7 linked regions of the Macaca fascicularis genome follow. The protein of the gene in region 4 interacts with the protein of the main gene of each other region in a biochemical or structural test. Links are inferred from orthologs where the notes say so. Each region holds a gene or a part of one and is shown on either strand. Other genes may lie near its edges.

Region 1 (3,791 bases), on a different chromosome or scaffold from region 4:
TTTGTTTTTTTGTTTTTAGTAGAGACAGGGTTTCATCATGTTGGCCAGGCTGGTCTCGAACTCCTGACCTCAGATGATCCACCCGACTTGGCCTTCCTTGGCATTTATATTAATGGACATTGTCCTACAGTCCAAAGTGATTGCATATCACCTATATTTTTCAGAGTAACTTACTATCATTTGCCAGTCTTGCCACCAAGACTATAAACACCTCACTAAAGCATTTGTTTTTAGAAATGCAGTTCTTCATTACTATTTGTTATAATATGATCATACAGTTGGTTTCTAACATTTGTTTACTACTTGGGCAGTTAACACATTCTCTGGAGAAAGGCAGAGGTTTTTCTATTCTTCTTTCTACCAATTTTTAGCAATACAAAAGTGAAGGGAAAAGGTTATTAGGTTATTATAATTTTTTTTTTCTATGGAGAAATAACAGCCATGCACTTCTGAAGGGAATGAAGTGTTCAACAAAGCTGTCCAAGTAGTAGCCTAACTGCCAAACTTATTTAGGCAAATTTACCTCTCTACCTCCAATACTACCACCCCAAGAGTATACACAAGTGGTAGCAGAGAAACATTTCTTCCCAATCCTGGGAGGTGTAAATGCTATTTACCTTCAGATGCGTACTCCTTTGTTTTGGGGAGCTTAGGAGAGAGAGGAACAACATATGGTACAGATTGCTGAGGAGATCGTTTGGTACTTTGCCTTTCTGTTACATCTTCTTTTGCTGTTCTCAAAGAAAAAACAGTTGTCTGTTATAACGAACTAATATACTGAAGCATTTTCATATCATCAGCATGAAACACTTGTTTCTACATCATTTGCCTACAATACCTTCATTGACAACTTCTCAATTATTTGATGTTCTTGAATAACATGTGTCTATTTCATCCTATTTTATATTTTCACTGAAATAATATTCAAGACTTAAAAGCATTTCCAGAAGGAGTATATCTAGGCTTCTTTATTCTGGGGTTATCAGATCTCTCTAAATATCTCACAAGGCAGTGAGGCAACCCATTAAAATGTGTCTAAAATGGCCTGGGAAAATTGCTCCCATGAGCCGGAGGAGTTAAAACTTCAGAGAAATTAAATAAAAGATATGGCATAATGAACATCCATTTTGTTAAGTAACAATCCTGGCTTAGAGCTACCCTTAAAACAAGTCTACTGCTTACTTATCATTCAACCAAACGCACTTCTACCTAAAGGACCACTCTGTAAAACATGATCCTGAAAGTAAAGACAGCTTCAATTATCAATTATACCCTAAGTATCAACAAATATCCTGATTTAACCTCCAACTAAAAGGACAAATAAGGTATAAGAAAAATCTTAAAAGTCTGATAGTAGACCTCAAAAGAGAAGAAAGATTGCAATGAGTATCAAAGTCAAACTTCATCTGGTTCAAAATTTCAGCTGAGGGCCACGCATGCTGCTCAAAATGTTATGATGAGTAACCTTTAGCTCAATCTAGTTACTCAGTGAATCCCAATGAGTCCGGTAGAGCTCTTACCACTTTAGTTTTATTTTTAATAATGGACTATAAAACCAACAGGCAAAACATATCTCAAATTTCTACAATTAATTAATTCATTAAATTCTAAGGAAAGAAATAATTGGCTTTTCATACCAACTTAATAATATGGAAAATTCGAGTTCTAAAATATAGTTTTCTATAAATGTTTATTTCCCTCAGAATCTTGGCAAGATTAGAAAATGTCTTCATCATTTATTTGTAATGTACTAATGCTTTATGAAAAGTTTACGAAGCTGGGTATGCTCTACTATCTGGGGCTGAAACAAATATAAAATTGACTCGACTTCTGCTTCTGGGTATTGTAGTAAGGCTAAGGGAGGAAAGTGTTCCTACAGAGATAACTAGGAAAAGCCAGGTAATTTACAAAGTATTTTTTAAATCATCAGAGAAGCACTTCCAGGATGACTGATCAAAGACCTCCAAAAATCTACTCCTTCATAAAAACATTGAAAACAGTGGCAAAAACTATAAAAACTTTTTCAAACCTCTGGAAATTAAAGACTTGCCACAATCCAAAGTGTTTAAGAAAAATGAATGGATCTCAGAAAAAAACAGCAAATTCTGTGGCATTTTAACTTGCCCTAATATAATCCCCCTCACCCCATTTTCACAGTAGCCTTGAAAACCAACACTTCACAACTACGGCAGGTATGAAAAACAGCCATGCAATAGTCACTGGATGGGGACATAATGGGTTTGGAGCTCTCCAAAAGCCCCATGCCCAGAGAACTATCACTTAGACCAGTCTTGAAGCTCACTGAAAAGCTCCCTTTCAGGGTTTGTCTTTATTTGACCTAAATTAGAGCTTGTTCTGTGTGAACAACCCCATCTCCAGGGCATCTGATGGGGGAAAATAGTGGCAACTGTTTAACTTTGCAGCTGCCTGAGACCATATTACCAGTCAGGGCTAACAATAGGTTGGCCAAAAAGCTTAAAAGGAAAAACTGGGTATAAGATGCCCCCTAGGAGACTTTGAAAAACACAGACATATTCCTGGGAATCTAAACAGTTCACATGCATGTGCTCGGATGTATATATGCATGCCCAGGAAAGACATGAGAACACCCTAATCTTTCATCTCTGGCTGACCTTGAGGCTCTGCACAAAGTCAACTTACAAGCTGCCTCTTGGAGCACTGACGTTATGTCCCAACACACACAGAAAACCCCTTGGCCAAGGCTGGGAGATACACTGGTTCCAGGTATTTAAGGAAATTTCTACCCAATCATTAACCACATTAAGCTAAACAAGCAGACTTCAGTGACCACTCTTTTTTTTTTTTTTTTTTTTTGAGACGGAGTCTCGCTCTACCACCCAGGCTGGAGTGCAGTGGCCGGATCTCAGCTCACTGCAAGCTCCGCCTCCCGGGTTTACGCCATTCTCCTGCCTCAGCCTCCCGAGCAGTTGGGACTACAGGCGCCTGCCACCGCGCCCGGCTAGTTTTTTGTATTTTTTTAGTAGAGACGGGGTTTCACCGTGTTAGCCAGGATGGTCTCGATCTCCTGACCTCGTGATCCGCCCGTCTCGGCCTCCCAAAGTGCTGGGACTACAGGCTTGAGCCACCGCGCCCGGCCTTCAGTGACCACTCTTAACAAAGAAATACAGACTTTACAGAATTAGTCCAGGAAAAGTCACTAAACGGCACCAGCAACAACAACAAACCCTAGGGAGAAGGGAATCTGATTTCCAGAGTTGCCATATTATATGATTTTTAAATGTCCAGTTTTCAACAACAACAAAAAAAGGAGACATGTGAAGAAACAATATGGTCCATACAAAGGGAAAAAAATCAGTTAACAGAAATTGTCCCTGAGGAAGTCCAGACATTGGACTTACTAGACAAATACTTTATTTTGGGACACGGTCTCAATCTGTTGCCCATGCTGGAGTGCAATGGCATGATCTCAGCTCACTGCAACCTCTGCCTCCCAGGTTCAAATGATTCTCGTGCCTCAGCCTCCCAAGCAGCTGGGATTATAGGCACATGCCACCACACCTGGCTAATTTTTTTATCTTTAGTAGAGAGAGGGTTTCGCCATGTTAGCCAGACTGGTCTTAAACTCCTGGCCTCAAGAGATCGTCCCGCCTTGGCCTCCCAAAGTGCTGGGATTACAGACGTGAGCCACTGCACCCGACCTAGACAAATACTTTAAATCAGCTATTATAAATATATTCAAGGAACTAAAAAATGAAAATCATGTCTAAAGAACTAAAAAAAGGCCAGTGTATTAGTCCGTTCTCATGCTG
Region 2 (2,451 bases), about 5.4 Mb from region 4:
TATAACCCTTATTTGCTTCCAAAATTGTGCATTTGTTCCAACCCATTTAATATATTTGGGAACAGTTTGATCATAACGCAGGCTTAATGTTTGCTTGTGTATGATTTCATCCTCGAGAAACATTAGGTGAATATGGGAAACTGTACCCAGCTGAACCAAGCCTAACTAGTACACAAAACTCACACTTGAACATGTACCAGCTACCTCACTTAGCTGCCCACCTGTGTTGAGCAACCCTTCCAACATCCACTTCCAAAAGCAAAGTGCATGTCTTCAAGATAAAAGGCCGTATTTATTGTAATATTTATGTATTTCTCAACCATTTGACATGTAAAAACCAAGCTATCCTTTTTTTAACATGTGTCACTCATTTGAGTGTTGTGCTTCAAGCCCCATTTTTCCCATGAGACCTGTGGTTTTTATTGTGCAAATTGCATGGCATAGTGATTTTCAGGAACACATAGGTCACATTATAAAGAGAACTGATTATATTTGGGTCAGAGACCATATAGCCCGCAAAGCCTAACTATCCAGCCCTTTACAGAAAAGGCTCAATGATCCCTGCTTTAGACCACTGGCTTCCGCCTCCTTACCTCATACAGTCCAGAAATAGACTTAACCCACACACCAATCCAAGAAGCCAAAGCCAGTTTTATTTCACAATCTTTATTACAGTAGGATGATGGTCCTGGGCCACCAGCCTAAACCTTGTGGCCTTAGGAAAGACCTGTGTCAACAGGGCTTCCTCCCTCTCTAGACAGGGGCTCAGCCACCTCCAGGGCATCCCTGTTGCATTTTCTCTGCTGGAGGATGGGGCAGAGGGACAACAGGAGAGGAGGGCATGACCCCACCCCAGGCTGTAGCAGCTCCTCGGCCACAATGATCCTTTTGCCAGTAGCAGAAGGGAGGAAAATAGCAACCACCAGGGTTACCACCACTTGTGGGATGGCCAGGACCCCGTTATGTCCTCTTACAGTTGTGCTCAAAGCAATTAATAAATTAAAATGAGCCTTCAGCAGCAAAGCTGTCAATCACACAGAAGCTGAGCAGAAAACAAAGCAAAGAGGAATTTATAGCTTCTCTGGCTGAGGCCTAGGCCCCTCCCTCTAGGAGCAGCTGTCAGCACGGATTATATAGGGGCCTCCAAAGTACTGAGGAGTCATCTAGACTATTCCCCCTCATATGTGTCTATCATGCATGAAATTTCAGAGGGACCCCAATCCAAATGCAATAACCCTAGAAGGGGCAACACCTTTAGAAGGCACTAGAGCATTTTGGCAGTTGAAAACAGCCCCCAGGGGTGGGGGGCGCTCAAAAGGAATGCTGGCGTTATGTATCCAATTCTGTCCCATCAGCCTGCCCCACCCCCAGCTAGAGTTGGGAAAGGCGCTGCTGGTCAGATGCAGGGAGGAGGAGCTTGACTACCCACCGAAATGCAGACGTGGCTGGCCAGGCCCCTTAGTGCACACTGCGGGGATGGGTAGGACCAGACCCCTTGGGCTTTGTGAAGGGGGAACAGACGCCCCTTCAGGCTTCAGATGTGGTGTGGTTTGTTCCTGGAGGCAGGGAGGTGGGTGGCAGCGGCCCCTCCTCTGCTTAGTGGCCACTCCAGAGGGCCTCTCCAGGGCTACAGGTGTATGGCTGTGACATCTGTAGGAGTGCTGGTCTGGCTGGGCCCTTGGCTGCTGGAGCCCCGGGGGGCTTTGGGCGCTGGGCTGGAGCTGGTCTGGGCGGCTTCCCTGAGGCTCTCCCTGAGTGCAGCTTCGATCTGCTCCTGACAGGCCCGCAGGCAGTCCTGGGAACATGGGAGAACAGTGAGGACTGAACACTCCCCCCCATAGCATCTGGCAGCAGGTGCAGGGGAAGGACAGCTCCCAACACATGGGGAAGTCTGGGGAGGTTAGGCCACAGCCCAGCCCCAGGAATCGCTCTTCAGTTCTCAGAAACTAGCAAGAGGATGTGGCAAGGGAGTGTGAGAGCAGCCCTGCATCTGACACCGAATCCCCCACCCCCACTCCAGCACACCACTTGGCAAGAAAAGAGCCCCTAGGGCCAGTGCCCTTCACCCCACCCAAGATACTTGCTCTTCTCCAGACCAAGGCAGGAGATAAAAAGCCACAAAGCCCCAAGGTTGTGAAACCAGGACTCAGGACCAGGTTGGGGTTGGAGGTTTCCCTCTACTGGAGGCTCAGGGCATAGCACTATATGAATGGAGAGGCTGCTGCCCAGCTGCCCAGCACTCACCACTTCAGTGCCAGTGATCCCTGCCAGCAGCTCTGTAAGCTCATCCCCGGACATGGAGCAGGCACCCAGGCCTTGCACTGCAGCCCCAATGCTGCCCGTGGCGATCATGGATGGCGGGTACATGGCAAAGGTATAATCTTGGAGAGGAGGAAAGGGAACCATGAGATGAGGAAACCTGAAGGATAACAGCCAGCATGGACTTCCGAC
Region 3 (3,791 bases), on a different chromosome or scaffold from region 4:
TTCTGATTGAAGAGAAAATGCAGTTCCTCTTAGGGAACTGTAGGTCTGATGACCTTAAAAATGGATAGTTTCAAACAATTATTGGTGAGAGATCATTAAAAAAAAGACAATTTAAAAACCTGATTCCAGAGTAATAAAAAAGTAACCTTAAGAACCTCAGCGCTAAAGGAAAACAGCAGGCAACTTCAGAATTCTTCCATCCAAATTTTCAAGAATACAGACTGGATTAATACCACCTTTCTAAAACAAAGCAAGTCATTTTAAAAGCTAAAGGACCCATGTTAACATAATTTGATTATCAAGTTAGAAAACCACAATTATATTTCTCATCTAATTTAGATTCTGGAAACAGTAACTTAATGAACATTACAGGATACTTCAAATTAACCTGTCATAGAAAACTGTCTCCTGGGCCTTCGAATCCTACACCAATTCTATACCTCTGGGTTTTGTAATGTTTAGTCTTCTGTAAGTTTTAAGGTGAATTACATGGGATTACTTATTTCTATTAACCTAATTTCAAATCTAAAGGCAAAATTAAAATGCATTTTTCTCTTTCCTATTCCCAGAAAAGATGGCCTTAGATGCTACTATCCTATGATTCTCTTTTTGTTCAGCTCATAATACAAATAGCTTATTGTTCTTCTAAGCTGTCTTATAAAGCAATACTATAAAATTAAATAGATAAAAGTTATATGGGCTATGAAGATTGTTTGCTGGTGGTAATTTTTAAGCTTGATTCTGAATAGACTTAATAAGAAGGGTACTTGGAAGAGGTGGCTCAAATTTTGCTCTTTAAGGTGTCTTGAAATTATAGGCTCACTCTCCCAAAATTTCAAAAGGCCTACAACTTTGGCTCTTAAGAGCAAAGCAGTGATAGAAGCTTTTAGAATCATTTCAAAAAGCAAGATTTCATAGTTTTCCCCCTCAAATGGTTCACTAGTATACTTGCAGAATGAAGGCAAAGGGAAAACCAAGAATAAAACTAGCTAAGTACTCCAGCAACTGGGCTTCCTGCTTATTTTCCCTGTTCTAAAGAAGAGGCACCATCCTGCAATAAATACTTCATAGACAACTGGGCTTTTGCAGTGTCAGTCGGCACTTGATGCCCCATATCTCCTGGTTCTTTTTGTTGCCAATAGTTGGCCTGGCAATGGTGGTGAAATGGGAGCAATTAATTTGCAGGTGAGGAAGGGCTTCTTTTAACAGTTGAAGGGTACCATCTGGCACGATTCCAAAAACTTGTAGTGTTTTCAGTGTGGGAATTTCTCCAAGTTCACTGGAAAGGAAGAAAAAGACTTTCAGAATGGCAGTATCTATGGAAACTGTTTGACTAGAGTTATATGACCCAAATTTTACAATTTGTATCATCTACAAAATGCAGTCTGAAAATACAATTTACAATAAATGATTTGAGAAAATAGCAAATTAAACTGGAAAGCACAGACCATATCGCTTGAGCAACAGGCATTAGGAAACGCACTGCTGCATTTTATTGAATGAGGTTCCTAATAACCTTAGAAACTCAGGTTTCTTTAAGAATCCAACCATATTTGCTTCCTTTCTCCTGTTGTGATTTATATAGTGATCTGAATAGGGTTACTGTATTGTGAGAAGAAACTAGCAAGTGAGGGATGGTAGAAACAAATGTTTGACTGTGGCACCAGCTGGAACCACCACAGGTTACATGCAAATTAAGGATATGAACTTGACCTTTATTTGAACTAGGCTCATCTCTCAAAGGGAGATGCTGTCAGGATTGATGAACTTCTTAATAATGGTTCATAGTCAACAAGTCCATTATGTGTGATGAAAACTACCACTGACTTCCCTAAGATATTTTAGATAGGGTTATGTAGTTGGGTACAGGTGGAGAAAATGGGTTAAAAATCACACCTTTTATAGGAGGCAATAGCCATCTTACCTCCCTACGTATTACCATTTTTTTCTGCATAGATAAGCCAGTCCCTTTAGGTATTTCACATTAGATGAAATTCAACCCTGTTAACAGTGAAATTCTGTTTCACAAATTCAGTTTCTCAAATTCTGTTTCTCCAAAGTAAATACTGTTTGGTGTTGGTAATGATTTTTTTCTTCTTAACTCAGATCTATGTGCCTAGAAATTCAACTCTCTGATCTGTATTTGCTCACGGTTGGGACACACAGTACAAAGTCTCAGGAAAGGGAACATTTATTTTGGAATTTCAACAAAGTCCTACTACAGATCAATGAGCACCTCAATGACCTAAAGTCAGAAACATCCTTTATATCTTCACATTGTCAATAATTACTTTTAAAAAGCCCCAAACCTTCCTTGTAACTGTCACCTGACCTCCAGTCTTTCTTCCTTCTAGCCTGTTCTATATACTAATTTCCAAGGCATCTTCCTAAAGCCTAGCTCACGTTAGTCATTCATCTGCTCCAAAACCTTTGATGCTTCTCTCGTGTTTACAGAACCCAGGCTGTTCAGCTAGTCTGAAGACCTTCCGTGTCTAACCTGCTCTTCCAGTCTTCCCACTACTCCCCGAAATGTATTTATTCTACATTCCACAAGGTGTCTTAAACCCCACAAATGTTTAATATACGTTAGCTGAGTACAGGATGAAGGCTAATTTACAAAATAAAAGCACTATCCAAATGAAATAAATATGCTTGTTCACAAGGGGACAGTAAGATCTAAAGGCATATAACCAAAGAAAATCGGAAAGAACAAATTGCTGTCATTAAGTAAACTGCTTTCTGGAATGTAGAAACAGTATCAAAGTAAGATCACAATACACAGATACTTAATCACTTACGATGACAGCAATCCAGCTCCAACTTTGAATCCCCCATGTGAAATTTGAGAAACATTGTAATTACTATGAGAATTCTGGTTCTGGTATATCCAAATTAGCCAAATTGTGAGCCATTCTGCGCTGGAGAATATTTAAGGGAAGAAACTGTAGGTGGAGTAAGAAAAGGAGGAATGGCAGATGGCAGAGGAGGACATGTTCTTACAACAGCATTGGGAAAGAGATTTGGTGAGGAAAGAAATGAAGACCAGACTCTCAGAACACACTCGGGTGTTATATATAAGGGGGTTATATAAGATAAAATGATGGATGAAGAACTAGTTCCCAAGTCAAAAATCCAGAAAGTCTAAGATTTTAAGGAGAAAAAAAATACACAAAAAACAAAGCCTTCTGGTATGTGCAACTCAGAATAAAAAATTTGCAAGCATCTTTTAAAAACTACAATGGAAGAGACTGAAGAACAAACTAAGGGATAGCAAATAGAAATAAGTAGTTCAAGAGGCTTTATTTCTAATGTAAGAAGTGTAAAATAACACCAATGTCTTATGTATATCGAATTTTAGAAAATAAAAGATATTTATGAACTCACAGGATTGCTCTTTACCTTATCTATACAATAATCCTGTTTTCCTTATAAAATCTTAAATGCCTCAACTACAAATGCTCCTACCACAGAAGTTTTTTAGTCTTATCTCAGATTAGTTTACTATCTCCAGTTTGGGTTTCTTACTTGAATGAGAAATAGGGAAGAATTAGAAGGAAGTTTAGACATAGAGAAGAAGACCAATTAAGAAGTAAGAGAATAAATACAATGGGAATAGGTCCTGGGGAAGAAAAATTTATAGTTTCCCAAGTATTTTAAAACATTACTACAGAAGAAAGACATTCAAATTGTATTTTCCCACTTCAGAGAAATAGATAGCCTTAAGTTCTTTAGCATAGGTGGCTCTCTGGAAATTACTATGGAAACACCCTGGAAATTTTATTATAAACTTC
Region 4 (4,495 bases):
AAGGAAGGAAGAAAGAAAGAAAGAAAGAAAGAAAGAAAGAAAGGAAGGAAGGAAGGAAGGAAGGAAGGAAGGAAGAAAGAAAGGAAGAAAGGAAGAAAGGAAGGAAGAAAGAAAGAAAGAAAGAAAGAAAGAAAGAAAGAGAAAGAAAGAAAAAGAGAGAGAGAGAAAGAAAGAAAGCAAGCAAGCAAGCAAGCAGGCAGGAAAGAAAAAGAAAGAAAGAAAGAAAGAAAGAAAGAAAGAAAGAAAGAAAGAAAGAAAGAAAGAAAGAAAGAAAGAAAGAAAGAAAAGAAAGAAAGAAAGAAAGAAAGAAAGAAAGAAAGAAAGAAAGAAAGAAAGAAAGAAAGAAATAAAGAAAGAAAGAAAGAAAGAAGCACCTAGGGAGCTTTTTCAAAATATAGATTTTGAAAAATCCCTGCCTCTTGAGACCAACTTAATCCAAATTGAAGTTTCAAGCAAGTGTTTGGCACCGTTCCTCAGATGGGCACTCTTGGGGTGCCAGCCAAAGGGGGACACACTGGTGTGTTTGAAATGGACATTCTTGGTCTCAATACATCATAGGCACAAGGAGGAGGAGCCCGCCTAGGGCTTCATCAAGGAGCTGGATATTCCCTGGCTCCCGGGAGCTCAAGACAGGACTAGGATCTAGGCAGGTACCCTCTCCTCTTCTACCACCCATCCTTCTCTTATGGCTCTTATAGGCCTCTCCTCGCCCATCAAAATCTGCTCTCATGCTCATTGTCATAATAACTTTCAGCCCAAAGAAAACAGAAACGTAAACCCGTGTTTTACAAACAACTGAAAATAGCCTCCTTTATTGGCTTTGCTGCCTTAGACTTCAGCCATATTTTAATTTCCAGTAAGAGCTCAGTAAATACTGTTGAATCTAAGGAGTGCTCCTTTGAAGGGGTGGTAATGGCATAGGGGTTATTCTCGGAGTAGCCGCGGCGGTTCGCGCCGGCCAGCCCCACTCCGCGGGAAAGCCGGTGTGCTATTACCGCCAGGGCCGGGAGGGGGCGCCGGCCTCCAGGAAATCACGCGCGGGGTGGGAGGTGCGTGGGCAGAGCCTCGGACTGCGGGAGGGAGTAGTGATGAGTCAGTTTCCTGCAAGGCGCTGCTCGCCCGCCAAAACTCTGCTTCCACTCCGGCTGCGCGTCACCCTGGGGTGGGGAGGGGGAGCATGGGAGGGGACAGCGGGGGGGCGCCGCGAACACGTCACGCTGAGCCGGCCAGGCTTCCGAAACTCCCGCCGCTGTTGGGAAACCGCGCGCTCTTGTGCCGTCTCTGACACACACACACACACACACGCACACACGCGCGCGCGCGCACACACACACACGCGCCGGGAGCCGACCCCTCCACCTTATCTCCACGCCCAAAGCATGGGATGAGTCAGATCCCTGGAAAATAAAAATAGACGGGAGCAACGAAAACAAAACCGCTCGCAAGTCCTCCCAGAAACGCGACGTGGAGGGAGGGAAGGAGAGGGGAAGCTGCCTGGGCGCCCCAAGTTCCAAACCCAGCTCCAAGATGCTTTTCCGCACGAAGAGGGCGCAAGTGTCCCCCAGGGGTTCTGGACCGAGAGGATGCGCTGTGATCCGCGCCAAGTGGCGGCGCCCCAGGGGGCGACTCGCCCCCCTGCTCCGCTCAGCCCTGTCGCTTTCCGAGAGGGAATCTGGGCTAGGTCGGGGCGCCACCGAGGCAGCTGATGGAGGCCCTGAGCAGCGTCGTGCCCCCCAGAATCCCCACCCCGCAAAGACCTGACCCCTTACCACCTCCCACCCAGGCGTGGGCTCTGCTCTCGCCCCGGAGTCCAGCGCCCCGACCCGAGGGCAGGCTGGGCCGTGATTCTCCCGGCCGCGGTGGGAAAGAGTTAGAGGAGACCCTTGCCCTTCCCCGACTGACAGGCTGGTTGGAGCCCGCCCAGCGCAGAGTCGTGACTCCCCGACCCCTAGCGAAGCGGGGACCCGACGCGGTGTCCTGGACCTCCGGTGCCCTGCTTCCCTGGGAACAAGCTGTTCCAGCCAAATAGGTCACTGTGCCGATGGGAGGACGGAGACCGCGGCGGGGCAGGGGAGAGGGCTTCGGGAGTCCCATTGTACCCCTTCCCGGGCGGGGTTCTGACCTCATACAGTCCGTTCCCTGGGGTCTCCTTGTCACAGTGAGTCACCTCCTCGTTTGTCCTTAGGGGACGTGTCCTGGCACACTCCCAAGGGCCGGGAAACAGCCCGCGCTGACCTCAGTGCCCAGCCAGGTGGTGGACACAGTGGCGTAGAGGACCTGAACCTGGGACCTGGGCCAGGGCGGCGCCAGTTGGATCCGAGAGCCGCCTAGGACCGATCCTAGACGAATTTACTCCACTCCGCTTTCCTCGCCCCTCCTGGGCCCCTCCAGGGACACGGACTTCATCCCCAGGCCGCGAGCAAACTGCGCCTGGGGCCTGCAGCCAACCGCAGCCAAAGGCGAGCTCTCAGAGCAGTCCGGTCCACGCCCTCCCTCGCCCCAGCTGGGTTTCCAGGGGCGGGGATCGTGACCGGGGATCCCTGTACTGGTAATCCCGCTCTCTGCCCCGGGTCTCCGGCACATCCCGACCCCCGTCACCCGCGCACTTACAGATACCGTGTGCGCAAGCCGAGCGCGCACCGATCCACGCCCGTCATTCACCTGCCACAGAAACACCTGTGAACGCAGCGCACACCCGCGAACACGCATCCTCGCGGACACGCACGGACACACGCGGGCACGCTCGGCTCGGCTCTGGGCCGCCGGCCCGGGGTCCCCTGTTGTCTGCCGCCGCTCTCTCACCTCCTCTGAGTGCCTCGGTGCCTCGGCGAATCCGCGCCCAGCTCTGGCCCCACAAGGAACTGACTTCGGCAGCTGCTCACACCTCAGCTGGCGCAGCTCAGCGCGGCCCTGATATACCACCGCCCCGCCCGGGCCCGCCTCAAGGAGGCGGGACCCGCGCTCGGCCCACCGCGCCGCCCGGGACCGCCCTCCCCGGGGCCCAGGCTCCTGGCTGCCCAGCGCCGAGCCAGCTGAGCCTGGCCGAGTTCCAGCAGGCCAGCCGGTCCGGAACCTCGCGTGCTGCAGGAGGGCACTTCCCTCCTCCCCCAGTCCCTCGCCTGCGTTGGTGCGCTGGACATATTTCCCCACGAAGTGAGCCACAAATCTGGCTTTTTTTACTTGGAGAATGAGTTGGCACTCCCCAGGAGGACACAGCACTGTTAGAATGAGCCCCCTTTCTGGCCCACCGTTGATCCACTCTGGGGGTCGGGGAGTCCGACCTGGCAGGCAAGGATTTACCCAATGCAGCTGAAAAGATCAGGAGGATGACATTAATAAATAAAAATTCATAAATAATAAAAACGATGCACCTCTCTGCAATTTCCAGAAAAGTTCTATAATATCACCTCTATTCCCACTGATCCCTCACTAGGTCACCTCTCCCAGAAGCATCTGGAGCACCTAGACACCCCAACAAAGCATCTTGAGGCCGGAATGCTTTTCCAGTCTCGTTTATTTCACAGATGAGGAAATTGAGGTCCACTGAACTTAAGTATACAAAGTTGTTGATTGTCACATGCTTCCAGGAAGGAGGCAATTGGAGACACTACCAGAAAAGGGCAACCTGATCTCCAGGGAAACCGAAGAATTGGACATTGAACCAATCTCTGTACACCCTACACTCACCTCAACAGACGAAACCCCTGTGGTTGCAGCAGCTTTGTTGGCCAGGAAGGGGAGGATTTGACGAGTGAGTTGTCTGTCTCCTGAATACTCCCCACACAGCCCCTGTACGCTTCTGGGGAAACTGGGGCTCAGAGAAGTCTAGTGACCTAACTCAGATCATGCAGCAAAGAAATGACTATAGTTGGAACACAGGCCTTTTGCCTCCTGCCCAGGACTCTCTGCTTGTCATCCTTTATTTCTGTGGCTCCAGAATGACAAAAATGCCAAATAACCCTCATTTGCAGATGGTTTATGGAGATGACATAAATAAAGGACAACTCTGGAAGTGTCTACTGGTGCTTCTGACAGACACAGAGATGAATGACAAGTCTATCCGCTCCCATCTACCGCACACCCCTGCCCTCCCTTGGACTTCACCTTTGCCTCCTTTCTGAGCCTGAAACATTTGCAGTTTTGCTTTTAAAAAATTGCAGAGGATGGATTGTTCATCTGAACAGAAATCCCACTAAAAAACAGAACCCAGGCTTGGAGCAGCTACAATTACTTACATCTCAGGCTGCTCAGAGTCTGGAAATCTCTGCCCAGACATGCCCAGTCTTCTTCCTTTAACGCAGCTGACCTCAGGGAGGACAGGCTTCTTTCTCCTCTGCTGTGTGAATGGGAGCCCGTAGGGGTGGGAGGACACAGCAGCAGACCCCCTCGGCCTGCCTGGTCCTAGAGTCAGGCCAGGATTGTGGCTAAACCCCAGAAAGGCCACAGCACGGCCTCAGGACCCCACTCTAAGCCCCACTGCTGTCTGCACCTTCCC
Region 5 (4,546 bases), on a different chromosome or scaffold from region 4:
CACTCATGGCTGCCAAGTGTAAAATCCATGTAATTGAACACAGTTCCCTGGACCTGGGCCTCTCCTCATTCTAGGCTGAGTCCCCAGCCCCTGCCACCACTCCCCTCAACAACCTGGCCCTGAGAGCTGCTGCCTTGCTCACCTCCCCATTCCCACCTCCCTGAGCCTTTGGACAAATCATCCCCATCCCCAAAAGGCCTTCCCAGCCTGCCTAACCTGATGCACCAGCTGACAGGCTGCCTCCTCCAGGCAGTCCCTTTGAGACTTATTTGACCTAGGCTGGCTCTGCCTTCCCTAAGCCCCTGGTGACAGATGGCCCCGTTTGCTCTCCCTGTCCATGGTGTTCCTACCCATGGATCCTGGGACAGGGAACAGGGCTCCTCCCTGCTCCCCAGACTAGGAAAGCAAAGAAATTCAAACATGAAGAAGACTGGACCAGGATGCAGGCCACTGGCGCAAACGGCAGCCCAGAGCCCTCCAGGGCGAGCCCAAAAACCTCCTGGGAGAAACCCCAGGCCCCTCCTAAACCACAGCGCCCCTGCCGGTCTGAATCTGGTTCATTCATTTGGCCAACGTGTACCAGGCGTCTCTGGCTTTGCCAGGCCCAGTGCTGGGCGCTGGAGACAAAGAGAGGTTCAGACAAGTCGGTCAGTGAGGAGCACCCAGTCCAGGGTGGTTACAGACCCATAATTACAGCAGTTGGGAGGCAGCAAGTAAGTGGGGGAGCACTGGACAGGCCCCTACCCTGCAGTGGCCCACCAGCCAGCCCTCACCTGAGCACACTTTATCCATTGATCCTGCATGGCTTCCTCATTTCCCCTCTGATAGATGAACTCCTAGGCATCCCTCAAAACCCAGTTCCCACATCACCAACCCCTGGCATCCCGAGAAAGAGCACTTGGCATGCTCTTCCTGTGAGCAGTCCTCTGCTACCCTTCCAGACGGGCCTTCCTGAGGGGAGGAGGGTCCTCTCTGGGACCTCCAGGCCAGGCAGAGATACCTGACGACCTCTGTGGAATGGACCCCAACATGGGTCTTTCCACAGTCAGCCAAGATGCTCTCCCGCCAGGCAACCTTTCTGGCCTCCTGAGGCCTGGGCTGGACACCCACAGAGGGGTGCTTTGCACTGACTGTCTTAAGCTACATTTAGAATGGCAGGAAGGCCCACTGCCTCGTGTCTAATGCCAGGACAGGGAAGACTACACCTTGCTCAAAGAGGGAAATGCCCCAAGTACTCAGCAGGATGGAAAGCAGGCCAGACCTGAGGAGGGCAGGGCTCCCAGCCGCGCACGCCTCAGGCACAGGGGGCTCTGACGACAGAGTGGGCGTGGCCTGGAGGCAGAGGGCTGGACTCAAAGACCTCTGGATGTCCCCCCACCCCCCACCAGGGCCTGCGCCCCTCCAAGGCCTGCTGCTGACAGAGTCAGACAGCTGTCCAGAGCCATGTGTAAAAATACATCTGTGCACACACAGGGTGGTGTACGTCTGCACAGAAACGTATACACCAGGCCAGTACAGGGCTGCCTGTGGAGGCGGAGGGACCCCAACTTCCCACAGCCTCCGTACCTGCCACCTGCCTTTACCATAAGCACATATTCTTGCTACTGTTATTATTTAAGTCACAACTTAAAAAAAAAAAATACTCTGTGTTTCGAAAGGGTTCCTCCATCTGCCTCCAGAACCCTGGTGTATGATAAGTCTATACAGCTCCGGGGAGAGGGAACCGGGCCTCCACCAATGCACTCCGCCCTTTGCTTGGATGAGGGACTCAAAGCAGTCAAGAAGTGGCCACCTGGAGCAAGGCCAAGAGACCCAGGAGTGAATGTGGGGCGGCCTCTGGCTACAGAGCAGGGGCCCAAGCCAACCCCGCTTACCACAGCAGCACTCAGGGGCCGTCCCGACAGGACCAAGGCTCGCTAGCGCCCCAGGATACTCAATCTAAGGGGCAAGCCCCAGCTGCCCTCTAAGCCTCGGCCTCTGGGACGAGCAGGCAGGACCTCCAGGGCCCACCCAAGACAGGAAGCAGTTCCGGGGCCCAGGAGGGTCAGTCCTTTGTGGCTAGCCTGGGTACCCCGCCACCACGTACAACTTTTTGTCCGTGGGAAATGAAGTCTCCTTCCGGGGCCCTCCCACAAACTTGAAGGCCGGCCGCGGCGAGCCTTTCTCCTAACCCCGGGGCACCTCCGCCGGCTGTCTCGCTGGCCCAACGCCCGGGGAGCCCCACGGCCCGCAGGGGCACCCCAAGCCCCAGCCCCAGGCCCGGCAGCGCCCCTTCTCCCGGGCCCCGGCCTCGCCGGGTGGAGCGGCCTCCCCAAGGTCATGAGGGAGGCTGGGGCCGGCAGCCTGCACCCCTGGCGCCCGGCGTGGGGCCGCCCTCCCTTGGCCGGGCCCGCGCGCCCCGCGCCCTCCCCGCCCAGGCCCGCTCGGCCACTTCCTGCTCCCGCTCCTCCATTCTGGCGGCGCCGCGGCTCGCGCCCCGGCCCGACCGGCCGGGAACAAAGCGGCCCGGCCCGCGGGGAGGAAATCCGGGCCCGGGCGGCCGCGGCGGGCGGGGACTCACCGGGCCGCCGCGTCCGAGCGCGAGCGCGGGCCTAGCCGGGCCGCGGCCTCCGGCGCCCGCCGCTCCGCATCCCCGCGGGCCGGCGCTGGGCGGGGCCGGGCTGGAGGCCGCGGCGGGCAGGGGCGCTGCTCGGGGCCGGGCCTCGCGTGCTGCTGCCGCTCGGTGCCCGGTGCCCGACGCTCGGTGCTTGGCCGCCTGCTCCCGTCCTTCGGGCCGCGCTGGCTGCGCTGGGCCGGCCGCCTGCCGCGCTCGGTCCTGCCGCCGCCGCCGGCCCGCCCTCTCCCCGCCCCGCGCCCGCCCCGCGCCCGGAGCCGCCCGCCCACATCCGCCTCCGCCGCCCGGGGCGTCCCCACCGCGCGGCCGCCCGGGCCCGCGGCGAGGGCGGAGCGCGCCCGGGAAGCGCGCGGCTGGGCTGAGGGGCGGCCCCCGGCGGCCTAGGGCCTGGGCTGGGCCGCTAACGGAGCCCGGCCACCAGCCAGCCCGTCCCGGGGCCACGCCTTCTCTGGCCTCAGTTTCCCCATCTGTAAAGTGACCCGGCGCTTCTGGACTCGCTCTGCCCTGACCCTACTAGACCAGGCCCGAGACCGGTCAGGGACGAATCCCGGACTTCTGCCTCCACTGCGCGGGGCGGGGGTGGGTTAGGTTGACTTTCAGGCCGTGCCCCACCTATGCACTGCCCCACTCTGGGGGGCGTGGAGGGACGGCCAAGAGTGTCCTAAAAGGCCCAATCCCAGGACCTTGTGCCTCTGGGGGAAGTGCGGAGGTCAGTTGGAGGTGTGCCTCCAAGGAGCGGGAAGGCTCCGAGGGGACTCAACCATTCACCTAGGTACTGGCAGCTACACTCACAAAAGGGAGACTTTGCTGGGGAGTGGGAGAAGAGGGGCACACCTTGCCTGGGTCCCACCTCGAGCTGGGAGCAGACACCAGACAGAGGAGGAGCGGTGTCTAGGGTGGGCTGTGACAGCTGAGAGCCCAGGACCCTCCCTGCTGGGTGGACTTGGTCAGCCCCGACACCCAGTCCGAAGTCCACTGGGAGGCAGATGGCCCCGGTATGGAGTGAGTGAATGGGACACAGACCCCCTTCTCCTGCACACTCACAGGACGATGCAGGTGACTGCCACCCCGACCCCTTCCCAGCCAGAAGTTCCTCCAACAACTGCCCCTCCCCCATTCCAGAGGCCCACAGTTGATAATAACCCTTTTGTGAAAGAGGGACTCTTGTGAGTTAACCTTCCTGAGGCTAAGTATTGGGGTGGGGGGAGCATTTTTATTTTCAGCCTGAGTGACTTCAGCTGGCAGCAGGGGAGGGGGTGGGAGGAGATGTAGACAGAGGCAGCAGGTTCGGCCCAGTGCTCAGGACAGAGTCTGCAGCCAAAACTGGGGCTTCATCCCTGCCTCTTGGGGCTGACCAAGAGAAGGACTCTCTCCCGCTGCATGGGGGCACTGGCTCCTCAGGCAGGGGACTCCCCATTCCTGCCTCTCCCCTGAGCACCTCTGCTCCCTCCCAGCTCAGACTTTGTAACCCCAGAAAGGGCCCGACCTCCAGGGGGCCAAGTCAGAGGCCCAGTGGTCTGTGCCGCCTGGGTGGGATACCTGACCCAAGGGTTGCCCCCAGAGCCCGGGCGTCTGGTGTCTGTCTCTCACCCAGCAAACCTGCACCATGGGCCACCTGGGGCTCCCTCTGGGACTGTCCCACCTGCCCATTGCTCCCCCTGGAAGAGTTCCTGGTATCCGCCCACCATCCTCGGCTCTGCCATGCAAGGATAGAGGAAGGAATTCAGGGAGGAAGCAGAGGATGAGAGAGCCATGAGAGGAGGCCAGCAAGTGGCCGAGGCTGGGGGGTGTGGGAGGGAGCAGGGCACCCTCTCATGGAAGAGGCAGTGACACCGCGGGCTGTTCTTGAAGGGGTCGGACCTCCTGCTTATTTTGCACTGGCTGTCTCCGAGAAGGCCTCCCACTCTTCCCAGCCTGGTGCCCTGGCATCCG
Region 6 (4,572 bases), on a different chromosome or scaffold from region 4:
GCCAATGAGCTAGATAGAAAACTTGGAGAGTGATGTTCTACAAGCTGAATGAGAAGAAATTATTTCAAGGAAAAAAGAATGATCAACCATGTCAAATAATGCTGATCAGCCGAGGAAGGAAAAGACTATTAATTGAGTCAAAATAGAGCAGAAAAAGAACTAGAGACAGAGAGCATTCATCCAACAAACACTGTGTGCCATCCTGGTCAGGCCCAGGCACTGTTCAAAGTAGTGGACACACAACAGTGAACATCACAACCTGTATCAACACCTGGACGGAGCTTACATGTTAGTGGGAAAGGCAACATTGTATATGTCGAGATATGACAAACTCTCAAGATAGGTGGCTTTAAATGGGACAGCTTCTGTCCCATTACTTAAATTACTTTAAGCACTTAAATTACTTTAATCGACATGATGCAAACAGTTCCTAGACCAATTTCCTTGATATTGGAAAACTAACAAAGAAAATTCGTCACCATTTCTAGCTGAAAAAGGGACGGGTCAAGGTGATCTTACGAAATCAACTTCTTCCCTGTGGTCCAGATTCCAGGGTGGTAACACTCAGCGGGAGCGTTTAGTTGACAGGTTTTTAAGATGGAAAAATGGCAATATATTTGTATGCTTACAGGTTGGGCCCAGTAGAAAAGAAAAAAACCAATGAGATATGAGAGAAAGAAAAGTGGCTAGAGTGACATCCTTGAAGAAACAAGAAGACACGAGTATATTGTACACATGGGGTTGGGGGGCGACCTCGCATGACAGCAGGGACATAGCAGACACATAACAGGTTGTGGATGGCAGATTATATGGCACACAGGAACATGTGCAGATTCTCTTCTGGATGCTTCTATATTTTTAGGAAAATAAGATACAAAGTCATCAGCTGAGAGTGAGCATGAAGGAGGAGGTTACTGAGGATTAAACAGAGAAACGAAGGTACAAAATAGATTTCTAAGCAGGTTGTAGAGGATAGGTACAGTGAAATGCAGAAGTGGCACCAGGTAACATAAGAGATTAGCAACTGGGAATTTAAAATGCGACCACTCAACATAAGCACAACTGACAATTCATAAGAACCAAGTCTCAGGCTTTAAGTTTTAAAAAGCAAACATCGCTAAGCAAATTAAAATTTGTTAAAACCACTTCCACTCAATTTTCTCCAAAGTTTTGAACAGATCACGTGAAGAGTCAGTAGATGAGGGGCTTCTAATCTAGTTTCTACCATATCTTTCTTTTGGCAGAGGCTTAATTAAACCTTTCAGATTTTTTCACCTACGAAATAGGGAAGGTATAGTTTTCATCTGTTAAGGTATCTATGATCAGTTAAGTTCACACAACTAATACCTGAGGGACCATTACCTGTTAGCATAGCTGCTTAGTCAGTACTGGGAAGAGGTCTGCTTTCAAAGCACGCTTTTTGGAGTAATCGAGTCTAGCCTAATCTAATCCTGATTTTAACACTATCCCCAATGAACACAGCCAAGATTATCCAGGTTTCCCTTAGGCACAGCCTGCATCAGTGTGAACACTGCTCTGACCTGGAGGAACCCCACTTCCACAGTTTATTTGGAAGCATTCACATTTCCTTTTAGCCCAGCCCTTAAATTACTTTAATATACATAATCCAAACAGTTCCTAGACCTATTTCCTTGGTAGTGGAAAAAATAACAAAGAAAACTAATCACTATTTCTAGCTGAAAACCGAACCCCTCAAGGTGATCTTAAGAAATCAACTGGCCTGCCACCGTGGCTCACGCCTATAATCCCAACACTTTGGGAGGCCGAGGTGGGCAGATCACCTGAAGTCAGGAGTTAGTGACCAGCTTGGCCAACATGGTGAAATCCCATCTCTACTAAAAATACAAAAATTAGCCGAGCATGGTGGTGGGCGCCTGTAATCCCAGCTACTCAGGAGGCTGAGGCAGGAGAATCACTTGTACCCGGGAGGCAGAGGTTGCAGTGAGCCGAGACAGCGCCACTGCACTCCAGCCTGGCGACAAGAGCGAAACTCTCTCTCAGAAAGGAAAGGAGAAAGGAAAGGAGAAGAAAAGGAGAAGAAAAGGAGAAGAAAAGGAGAAGGAAAGGAAAGGAAAGGAAAGGAAAGGAAAGGAAAGGAAAGGAAAGATCAATTTCCCTGTAGTCCAGATTCCAGGGTTGTAATACTCAGGGGGAGCTGTAGGTACAAAAGCAAGAGAAAAGCACCTGGCACCAAAGAGGAGGGCCGTTCTCCACAAGCATCATTCCCAGTGCGTCTGAGTCATTACCTGGCCACAGGTCCTCCTGTACTGTCCATTTTCAGTTAGCAGCCCTAGCACTGTCCTCTGCGGGGGATCCTGGCCCAGCGGGGCTCTGGTGAGTATCTGACAAGCATCGGGACCTCGGGCCACTGTAGCCAGCACAACTCCATTCTTGGGGTTGCTGCAGTGCATTGCCTCAGACTCCACGCGCTGCTGCTACCAGGGAAAGAGAGACAAGCTGGTTACTCAACCCCGTCCACCCGGGGCTCCAAGGACACAAGAGAACCTCTAGGAGGGAGAGCACCAAGCAAAGGGACTAACACCAATTGCTGATCTTCCCAGCAATTGTTAGTGCTGAAAGGGCATGAGCCACCGCACAAACGATCAAAGTTGCTCTGAATCAAAACAGTCATTCCAATCTCTGAGGGTTTTTTTTATCCCAAGACCTCCTGTTGGGCTGGAAGGAGAGAAACATTCTGACAAGCCTTCAAGTCGGGATACTAAACCCACGTTACCTGGAAGTTGAAATCTGGGAGCCCCTGTCTTTCCCAGCAGAGATACTCATCTCCCCAGCCCCCAATAAAAGATCCAGGGTACATGACTGCGGGAAAGCGGGTCTCCATCCCAAGTGACGAGCAGGGTGGTGCACTGCGGCCTCCTCCCACCAGATAGGAGGCCTCAAAACCTGCCTGGACCCCAAATCGGGCCCAGCTCTTCCCGGCGATATCTTTCTATGTATCTGGAACAACTGCCAAGTGCACTGGAGGATCGGGTTAAGAGGTGGCGGGCAGGGCGGAGCAGGGCCGGGCGGGGCAGGGCGGGGCCGGGCGGGGCCGGACTTGGAAGGGCGGGGCGGGGCAGGGCAGGGCGGGGAGGGAGGTACCAAGTGATGAGGGATTCCAGCCTGGGAGGCGACCCGGCTCAGCGCTGCGGCTCAGCGGCCCACCCGCGTCTGTTGAATCGGCCAATCAGCGGCGCTCCCGGACCGCTCCCGGAGGGAGCGTTTCCATGCCGACCGCGGCTGGCGTGCGCTCCCCCCGGCCGCATCGCCATGGCGACCTGCTCACCTGACTCGCTCCGGGTGGACAAGCCGCGACCCCTGGGCGTTCAGGCCCCTGCGGGACTAACGGGCGACGGCCCTCCAGCTCCAGCTGTGCGTCTCCGCCCGGGCCAGGTGGGGCCGGCCGCCGCAGTCTGCACACGTACCCTCTGGTCCGCGCCCCCGGCCTGGGAGGGCGGACTCGCCCACCCCACGGTGGTCCCGGCTTTGGAAGGGACTGTTTCTGTGACCCGTTCTCCCAACAGCCGCTAACAACCCCCTGTAACGTCTCCTGCGCGGCCCGCTCCTGAGAACCCTGGCTCGGGAGAGCGACGCGGGGCCCTCGGGGCTGCGCAGGCTGCGGCGCCCTGCCCACGCTGGCCCGAGGGCGCGGCTCGCTCTGGGTCGGCTCACACACCTACGCTTCCTGCCGGGCGGCGGCCGGGACGCGGCGGGGTGGCCCCACGTGCAGTCGCGGCAGTGTGGCGTCTCCATCGCTGGGGGTTCTTGCGGGCGGCACCTGTCCTGCACGGCTCCCGGTGCATGTGGCCTGCGAGGCGGCAGAGATGTGGGGATTTAGGGTCGCACGTGGTGCTCGAGGTCCCCACGAGAAGTCTTCCCCCGCGGGCTCCTGCGCAACTGCGTGAAGCCGGCCCGGGAAAGCCAAGATTGTGGCCCAGGAAGAGGAAGGAACGCGGGCAACACAGCTGGGGCTTGGGACTCTGAGGGGGTCGGTGGCAGCGCTCCGGGCTGGGGGCTGGGCGGGCGGCCTGGCCGCGTGGGGAGAGGAGTCCCTGGGGTCCTTATACGGGGGAGCTCCTGGAAACCCGGGGGCTCAGACGCCTGCATAGGTGACTGGACAAGCCAGGTGAAAGAATCGAACTTTTTTTTTTTTTTTTTTAATGTATATATGCACACACACATTACCAATGCTGTAGTCTGTTACTACTTTTGCTTTTTTGTTTAAACATCCACCCCTAAATCTCTAAATCAGACCCAAAGTGTAGTCAAATAGCCACTTTATGCAAGCAACGGTTATCGCCTTTTTTAAAGTGTGCGTTATTAACATTTTTACCAAGCAAACTGAGTGTGGGCATTGCTTTAAGGGGAAAATAGAAGTATTCTAACAAAATCTCGGGTTGAAAGCCGTGCAGTTGACTCAAATATTAATAAGAAGTTGGGAAGCATCTGGAGAATCAAGGCTGGATGAGGGAGGAACACAGAAACGGATCTTGTTCAACATGAAACTCATTTCTATACGTTTGTCACAGACTTCTATTCCTTGAGAGACAG
Region 7 (4,419 bases), on a different chromosome or scaffold from region 4:
AAACAAACAAATGTGTTATGAAAATGTAAAAGCATGCAATAAACTCTCAGCAAGTTGTAACGATACATAAAACTAAGTATATTTCTGTGCAGAATATAGTCCCTATAGTCGAATAGGCGCAAGCGTTAGAAATAGGCTCTGCCATGGGGTCCCTGATCTGACTTCTGAATGTCAAGAACCTTTTGAAATCTGATGCAGAATGTCGTGCTCACGTGTTGGAGAATTCTTCTGCGAAAACGATTCACAGTTTGCTTCAGGGTCTAAAATGAGTTCATGACCCAAAATAGGAAGGGGATCAGTACGGCAGTGTATAGCACACCCTTCACGTAACTATTAATAACTCCATCTTAGGAAAAGACCCCATTTTATATTTCATAGGGCATTTGCCAACAAGGATACTATACTTTAATAAACAAGTAAAAAACTAGTCCGCATCCACTCAGGTAAGGACACAAACAAGCGCCCTCTTCCACTGTCAGTTCTCACCCGGACTCTGCCTTCGGCAGCTCCAAACAGTCTTAATTGACGCTGTCTCTGCAGAAGGACCTCTCGGGCCCAAACCAGGCTTCTTCTTCTCTTCTTCACTTCCTCTGGATTGGTTGTTCATCTCTTTGTCCTCTCTCTTTTTTTCCTCGGGATGTTAAATGCTACTTTGTTTGCTGTGGGATGCTTAACATGTAACGTTTATATATGGATTAAGTACACTACTGCGTACGGTTTGTAGTACTGACTGATGCGCGGAGTGGCTTGAGCCCGTGTGTCCAGCATGCGTGGACCTGCTTATTACTAGCCCGGCACCCTGGCGACAGGAGGCTAAGGCTTTTGATTTAGGGAGAGGGACCTGGGGGTAACCCCAAGAAAGGCCTCAGGTCACCGGAGGGGGGACGGAAATTACCGGAGGGCGTCCCGGCCCGCTCCTCTTCTTCTCAGAGCTCACACTGGGCAGCAGGCCTGGCCTTGTCTCCCTTCTAGGTCCCCGTTGGGCCTGGCGCGGTTTCCAACTCTTCCTCAAATTACCTCCAGAATCCCGCGCTGGGAGCGGAAGCCCGCGGACTCTCAGGAAGACCCAGCTTTCAAATCCGGGGCGGGGGAGCGGGGCCGGGCCTCGGGGGCGGGCCTCGGGGGCGGGCCTCGGGGGCGGGCCTCGGGGGCGGGGCCTCGGGGGGCGGGGACCCGGGCGCGGGCGCGGGCGCGGGCGCGGGCGCGGGCGCGGGCGCGGGCGCGGGCGCGGGCGCGGGCGCGGGCGCGGGCGCGGGCGCGGGCGCGGGCGCGGGCGCGGGCGCGGGCTGCAGCGGGCTGGCGGCTCCTGGGGCCCAGCCCGGCCCTGGGTTCTCGGGCGGGCGGGAGCTGGGGGACGGGCCCCAGGGAGGGGGCGCGCGGGGCCGACAGGGGCGGGCCGGGGGCGGGGCTAGCGCTGGAGCACGTCCCCAGGCGGCGGGCTGCTGAAGCGGTGCAGACGCGGATCGTAACGGGTGGCTGCTGCTGTGAGGCGGTTGTGGAAGGTGTGAGAAGGCTGTGCGGTGAGTGCCGCGCTCGCTCCGGGCGGTCAGCCCTGTCCCCGCTCCCTGCGTCCTCCCAGGCCCAGCGCCCGCCCGGGGACCTGGGCGGCGGAGCCTTTGTTTTGCCACCTCACCCGGGGCGGCAGCGAGCAGTGAAGCCCGGGGCCGGGGCCGGGGCAGCCAGGCAGCGGGTTAAGGCTTTTGATTTAGGGAGAGGGACCTGGGAGTAACCTAAGGAAAGGCCTCAGGTCATCGGAAGGGAGACCTGACCCGGGGGCGGGAGGCTTGCCTGGGGCCGGGGAGGCCAGGCAGCGGGAGGCCGGCCCGGGGGAACCGAGGCCGGGGCCGGGAGGTCGGGCACGGGGCACCGAACTCCGAGGGCCAGAGACCTGGCGGCCGGGCCTGGGGCCAGGAGGCCGGGCCAGGCAGCGGGAGGCAGCGGCAAGCTGGAAAGCAGACGGTGCTACCGCCGGCGGAGGAGTGGCCCCGGGAAGCGGTGCGGCGAGGGCTGGGGCGGCCGGGTGCTGACTGTGAGGGACTCGCCCTCGGGGCTGATCCTTCCAATTTTGGGCGAGGCTTCCGTCTCTGCTGCCTTCCATGCCTGGGGCCTGGACTATCCCGGGTTGACTGTGTGGTTTAGCTCTTCCAGAGAGCTAGTTGCAGGGTTTAAAATCCAATTCCTTTTCGGCCCTGCAGAGTTTCGTGAGTGCTCACAGCTCATCCCTGTGGCTGTGTCTCCGTGGCCACAGCTGATTGGCGTCGCCTTGAAATCCCAGGCCGTGAGGAGTGAGCGAGCCCTGCTCGCGCTCGGCGCTGTTGTTTTCAGTGGGTGTGCTCTGCACCTGCGTCTTTCCCCCATTCTCAGTAAGTGGCACCCAAGCAGGAAACCGGAAAACATCCTTCTCGCCCCCCTCTCGCCCACCTACTTCTTTTCCCGCTTAGTCACCAAGCCTTGTCGACCTTGTAAACGTCTGCCAGGTCTGTCCACGTCTCTCCATCTCCACAGCAGCCTCTTCCCTGGTCTCTCCACCTCCAGACCCGCCTGCTCCTTTGTAGTCCACTTTTCACAGCACAGAGGGATCTTTATGAAATGAAAGTCTAGAAAGCGCGTCCTTTGCCCTTAGGTTAAACCCAGCACTTAATACGGCTGACAAACCCCAGTACGTGTTGGGTCCTGAGTGCCCCCACCCCTCCCTATCTTTAGCACCGATTCACTTTCTGCACAGCAATGCTGACCTTCATAGCTAGTGTCTGCCACACCTCTGCATTCCCCTTCTCCCGCCATCACATTTGATTAGAAGTAAGAGCTGCTACTTAAACTTCTGTTTTCATTAAAACAGTTCAAGGTTCAATCTTCCTCTACTGTGTTCTTTCTGCAGCCAGCGTTCCCTAAGAGAGATGTGTCATATCCTCTGCAGTTGCTTGTTTACTGTCTTCCCTGCTAGATTTGCAAGCAAACTCCAGGAGGGATGGACTTGGTTTATCTTGGTGTCCTTAGAGTCTTTCACCAAATGCGGGCCCTGGCACAACGCAGTGAATGCCCATCCGTTGTGTTTTTACTTTTATGCCCTATCTAGAAAAAGTAGACCTGGTTTAGGATTATTTAGCAAATAATAGTTAGAAAAGAAATGGTAGAGGTGACATGGAGTCACTGAAACCATGTAAACCTGCAAGATAGCAGAAAGAGGGCCAGGAAAGGTGGTTAGACTAGACTGTATCAAAATGGGCTCAGCCACTGTGAGTGTGCGTGCTGTGGTTACATCATCTCTAAAAGTGAAATGTAAAGCTTAAATCATCTCTATCACAGCCCGATGCTTGGGCTTTGGTTTTGCTTTGCCTTTTTGTAAAAGAAGGTTTTTGAAAGTGAAAATATATTTTAGTGAATGCACGAACAGTTTATTGGAGTATGGCAATAAAACCTGTTCAGAGTAAGAGACATTAGACATTGTACCTAGTTAAATCAGGTTTGCTTTTGCTATCCTGAATAAAGGCCTTGACTCTTGCCTTTTGAAGAGACTGGCATCTGATATAGGCAGTTATAATGCTTCTTCACTGTTTTGCTTTCAGACCTCATTTAACACAATCTCCTACTGCTTCATCCCCCTACAAAGCAGTCTTTATTTTCATGAATGATATATTACATTGCTTCTGGTGCCTACTATTAGATGTTTAAGCTCTGCCCCAAAGATAGGAAGCACTGGTATTTGGGCCTAAAAAAAGATGTGAGAATTCTTAGATTTATATAATGTTCTTTCTCTGCATGTTTTGTTCTTACCGTCACATGTTGCCTGTAGGGCTTCTTTGCATTACAATAATGCAATCAAGTTACCTGATATGTATTGGACACCGTCTGGCATCTGCTTTGTTGAGCCACTTTTGAATGCCAGTGAGCATCGGTATAAGCCCTGCATAGAGATAGGGTTTGTCTCGTCCACTGCTTGATACACTCAGGGTCTAGTATAGTACTCTGCACACAGTTGGTGTTCAGTAAATTGTTATGGTGCAAATATCAAATGAATAGATGCTACTGAATCTGACTTTTGGCAGTTTCAGTCTTCCAGACAGTAGGGTTTCTTCAAGCGGTTTTAAACCTGAATCTGATTCTGCAAAGTAGTCATTCTTGGTGGGAGTGGTGAGCCTTTAATGTTATCTGTAATTTTTATAAAAAAGCATTCAAGATCCTCCATTTTACACTTATATAAATCATTTAGATCTGTGAAGGCTTTCCCGTTTTCTCCTTTTGTCCCTCCAAAAACACTATCCTAGGACTTCACTTGGCACAGGGAGGACAGAGCTTTTGCACATGGTAAGTGCCATTCTTTCTGACTTGTGTCGTAAACTCGGAGACTTTGAATAGTGGGGAGTGCTCTATACTGTCTTCCTGGTCACATGGCCCATGCCAGAGAAAAGGAAAGGATGG

The links.
Region 1: the proteins of CDKN1A (region 4) and SCML2 form a complex in vitro, tested with the Homo sapiens proteins (2 studies listed by BioGRID and IntAct). The link is inferred for Macaca fascicularis from reciprocal best matches to the Homo sapiens genes CDKN1A and SCML2.
Region 2: the proteins of CDKN1A (region 4) and CCND3 form a complex in vitro, tested with the Homo sapiens proteins (2 studies listed by BioGRID and IntAct, with this or other methods). The link is inferred for Macaca fascicularis from reciprocal best matches to the Homo sapiens genes CDKN1A and CCND3.
Region 3: of the proteins of CDKN1A (region 4) and SKP2, one has a biochemical effect on the other in vitro, tested with the Homo sapiens proteins (3 studies listed by BioGRID). The link is inferred for Macaca fascicularis from reciprocal best matches to the Homo sapiens genes CDKN1A and SKP2.
Region 5: of the proteins of CDKN1A (region 4) and AKT1, one has a biochemical effect on the other in vitro, tested with the Homo sapiens proteins (2 studies listed by BioGRID, with this or other methods). The link is inferred for Macaca fascicularis from reciprocal best matches to the Homo sapiens genes CDKN1A and AKT1.
Region 6: the proteins of CDKN1A (region 4) and CCNA1 form a complex in vitro, tested with the Homo sapiens proteins (2 studies listed by BioGRID and IntAct, with this or other methods). The link is inferred for Macaca fascicularis from reciprocal best matches to the Homo sapiens genes CDKN1A and CCNA1.
Region 7: of the proteins of CDKN1A (region 4) and CASP3, one has a biochemical effect on the other in vitro, tested with the Homo sapiens proteins (3 studies listed by BioGRID). The link is inferred for Macaca fascicularis from reciprocal best matches to the Homo sapiens genes CDKN1A and CASP3.

Annotation. Positions count from the first base shown.
Region 1 is NC_088395.1:18,113,370-18,117,160, forward strand, and holds part of SCML2 (sex comb on midleg-like protein 2), read right to left. Parts: intron 732-3,791; coding exon 618-731; intron 1-617. UniProt on the Homo sapiens protein: Putative Polycomb group (PcG) protein. PcG proteins act by forming multiprotein complexes, which are required to maintain the transcriptionally repressive state of homeotic genes throughout development.
Region 2 is NC_088378.1:129,633,289-129,635,739, reverse strand, and holds the end of CCND3 (G1/S-specific cyclin-D3), read right to left. Parts: intron 2,382-2,451; coding exon 2,245-2,381; intron 1,796-2,244; coding exon 1,628-1,795; coding exon of another isoform or gene 1,422-1,627; 3' UTR 651-1,421; downstream 1-650. UniProt on the Homo sapiens protein: Regulatory component of the cyclin D3-CDK4 (DC) complex that phosphorylates and inhibits members of the retinoblastoma (RB) protein family including RB1 and regulates the cell-cycle during G(1)/S transition.
Region 3 is NC_088380.1:36,468,394-36,472,184, reverse strand, and holds part of SKP2 (S-phase kinase-associated protein 2), read right to left. Parts: exon of another isoform or gene 3,282-3,791; intron 1,280-3,281; coding exon 1,066-1,279; 3' UTR 1-1,065. UniProt on the Homo sapiens protein: Substrate recognition component of a SCF (SKP1-CUL1-F-box protein) E3 ubiquitin-protein ligase complex which mediates the ubiquitination and subsequent proteasomal degradation of target proteins involved in cell cycle progression, signal transduction and transcription.
Region 4 is NC_088378.1:134,986,871-134,991,365, forward strand, and holds the start of CDKN1A (cyclin-dependent kinase inhibitor 1), read right to left. Parts: upstream 2,888-4,495; 5' UTR 2,662-2,887; exon of another isoform or gene 2,611-2,661; intron 1-2,610. UniProt on the Homo sapiens protein: Plays an important role in controlling cell cycle progression and DNA damage-induced G2 arrest. Involved in p53/TP53 mediated inhibition of cellular proliferation in response to DNA damage.
Region 5 is NC_088381.1:172,986,824-172,991,369, forward strand, and holds the start of AKT1 (RAC-alpha serine/threonine-protein kinase), read right to left. Parts: upstream 2,846-4,546; 5' UTR 2,561-2,845; intron 1-2,560. UniProt on the Homo sapiens protein: AKT1 is one of 3 closely related serine/threonine-protein kinases (AKT1, AKT2 and AKT3) called the AKT kinase, and which regulate many processes including metabolism, proliferation, cell survival, growth and angiogenesis.
Region 6 is NC_088391.1:16,020,705-16,025,276, reverse strand, and holds the start of CCNA1 (cyclin-A1), read right to left. Parts: upstream 2,991-4,572; 5' UTR 2,864-2,990; coding exon 2,756-2,863; intron 2,457-2,755; coding exon 2,268-2,456; intron 1-2,267. UniProt on the Homo sapiens protein: May be involved in the control of the cell cycle at the G1/S (start) and G2/M (mitosis) transitions. May primarily function in the control of the germline meiotic cell cycle and additionally in the control of mitotic cell cycle in some somatic cells.
Region 7 is NC_088379.1:189,420,277-189,424,695, reverse strand, and holds the start of CASP3 (caspase-3), read left to right. Parts: upstream 1-1,452; 5' UTR 1,453-1,520; intron 1,521-2,195; 5' UTR 2,196-2,363; intron 2,364-4,419. UniProt on the Homo sapiens protein: Thiol protease that acts as a major effector caspase involved in the execution phase of apoptosis. Following cleavage and activation by initiator caspases (CASP8, CASP9 and/or CASP10), mediates execution of apoptosis by catalyzing cleavage of many proteins.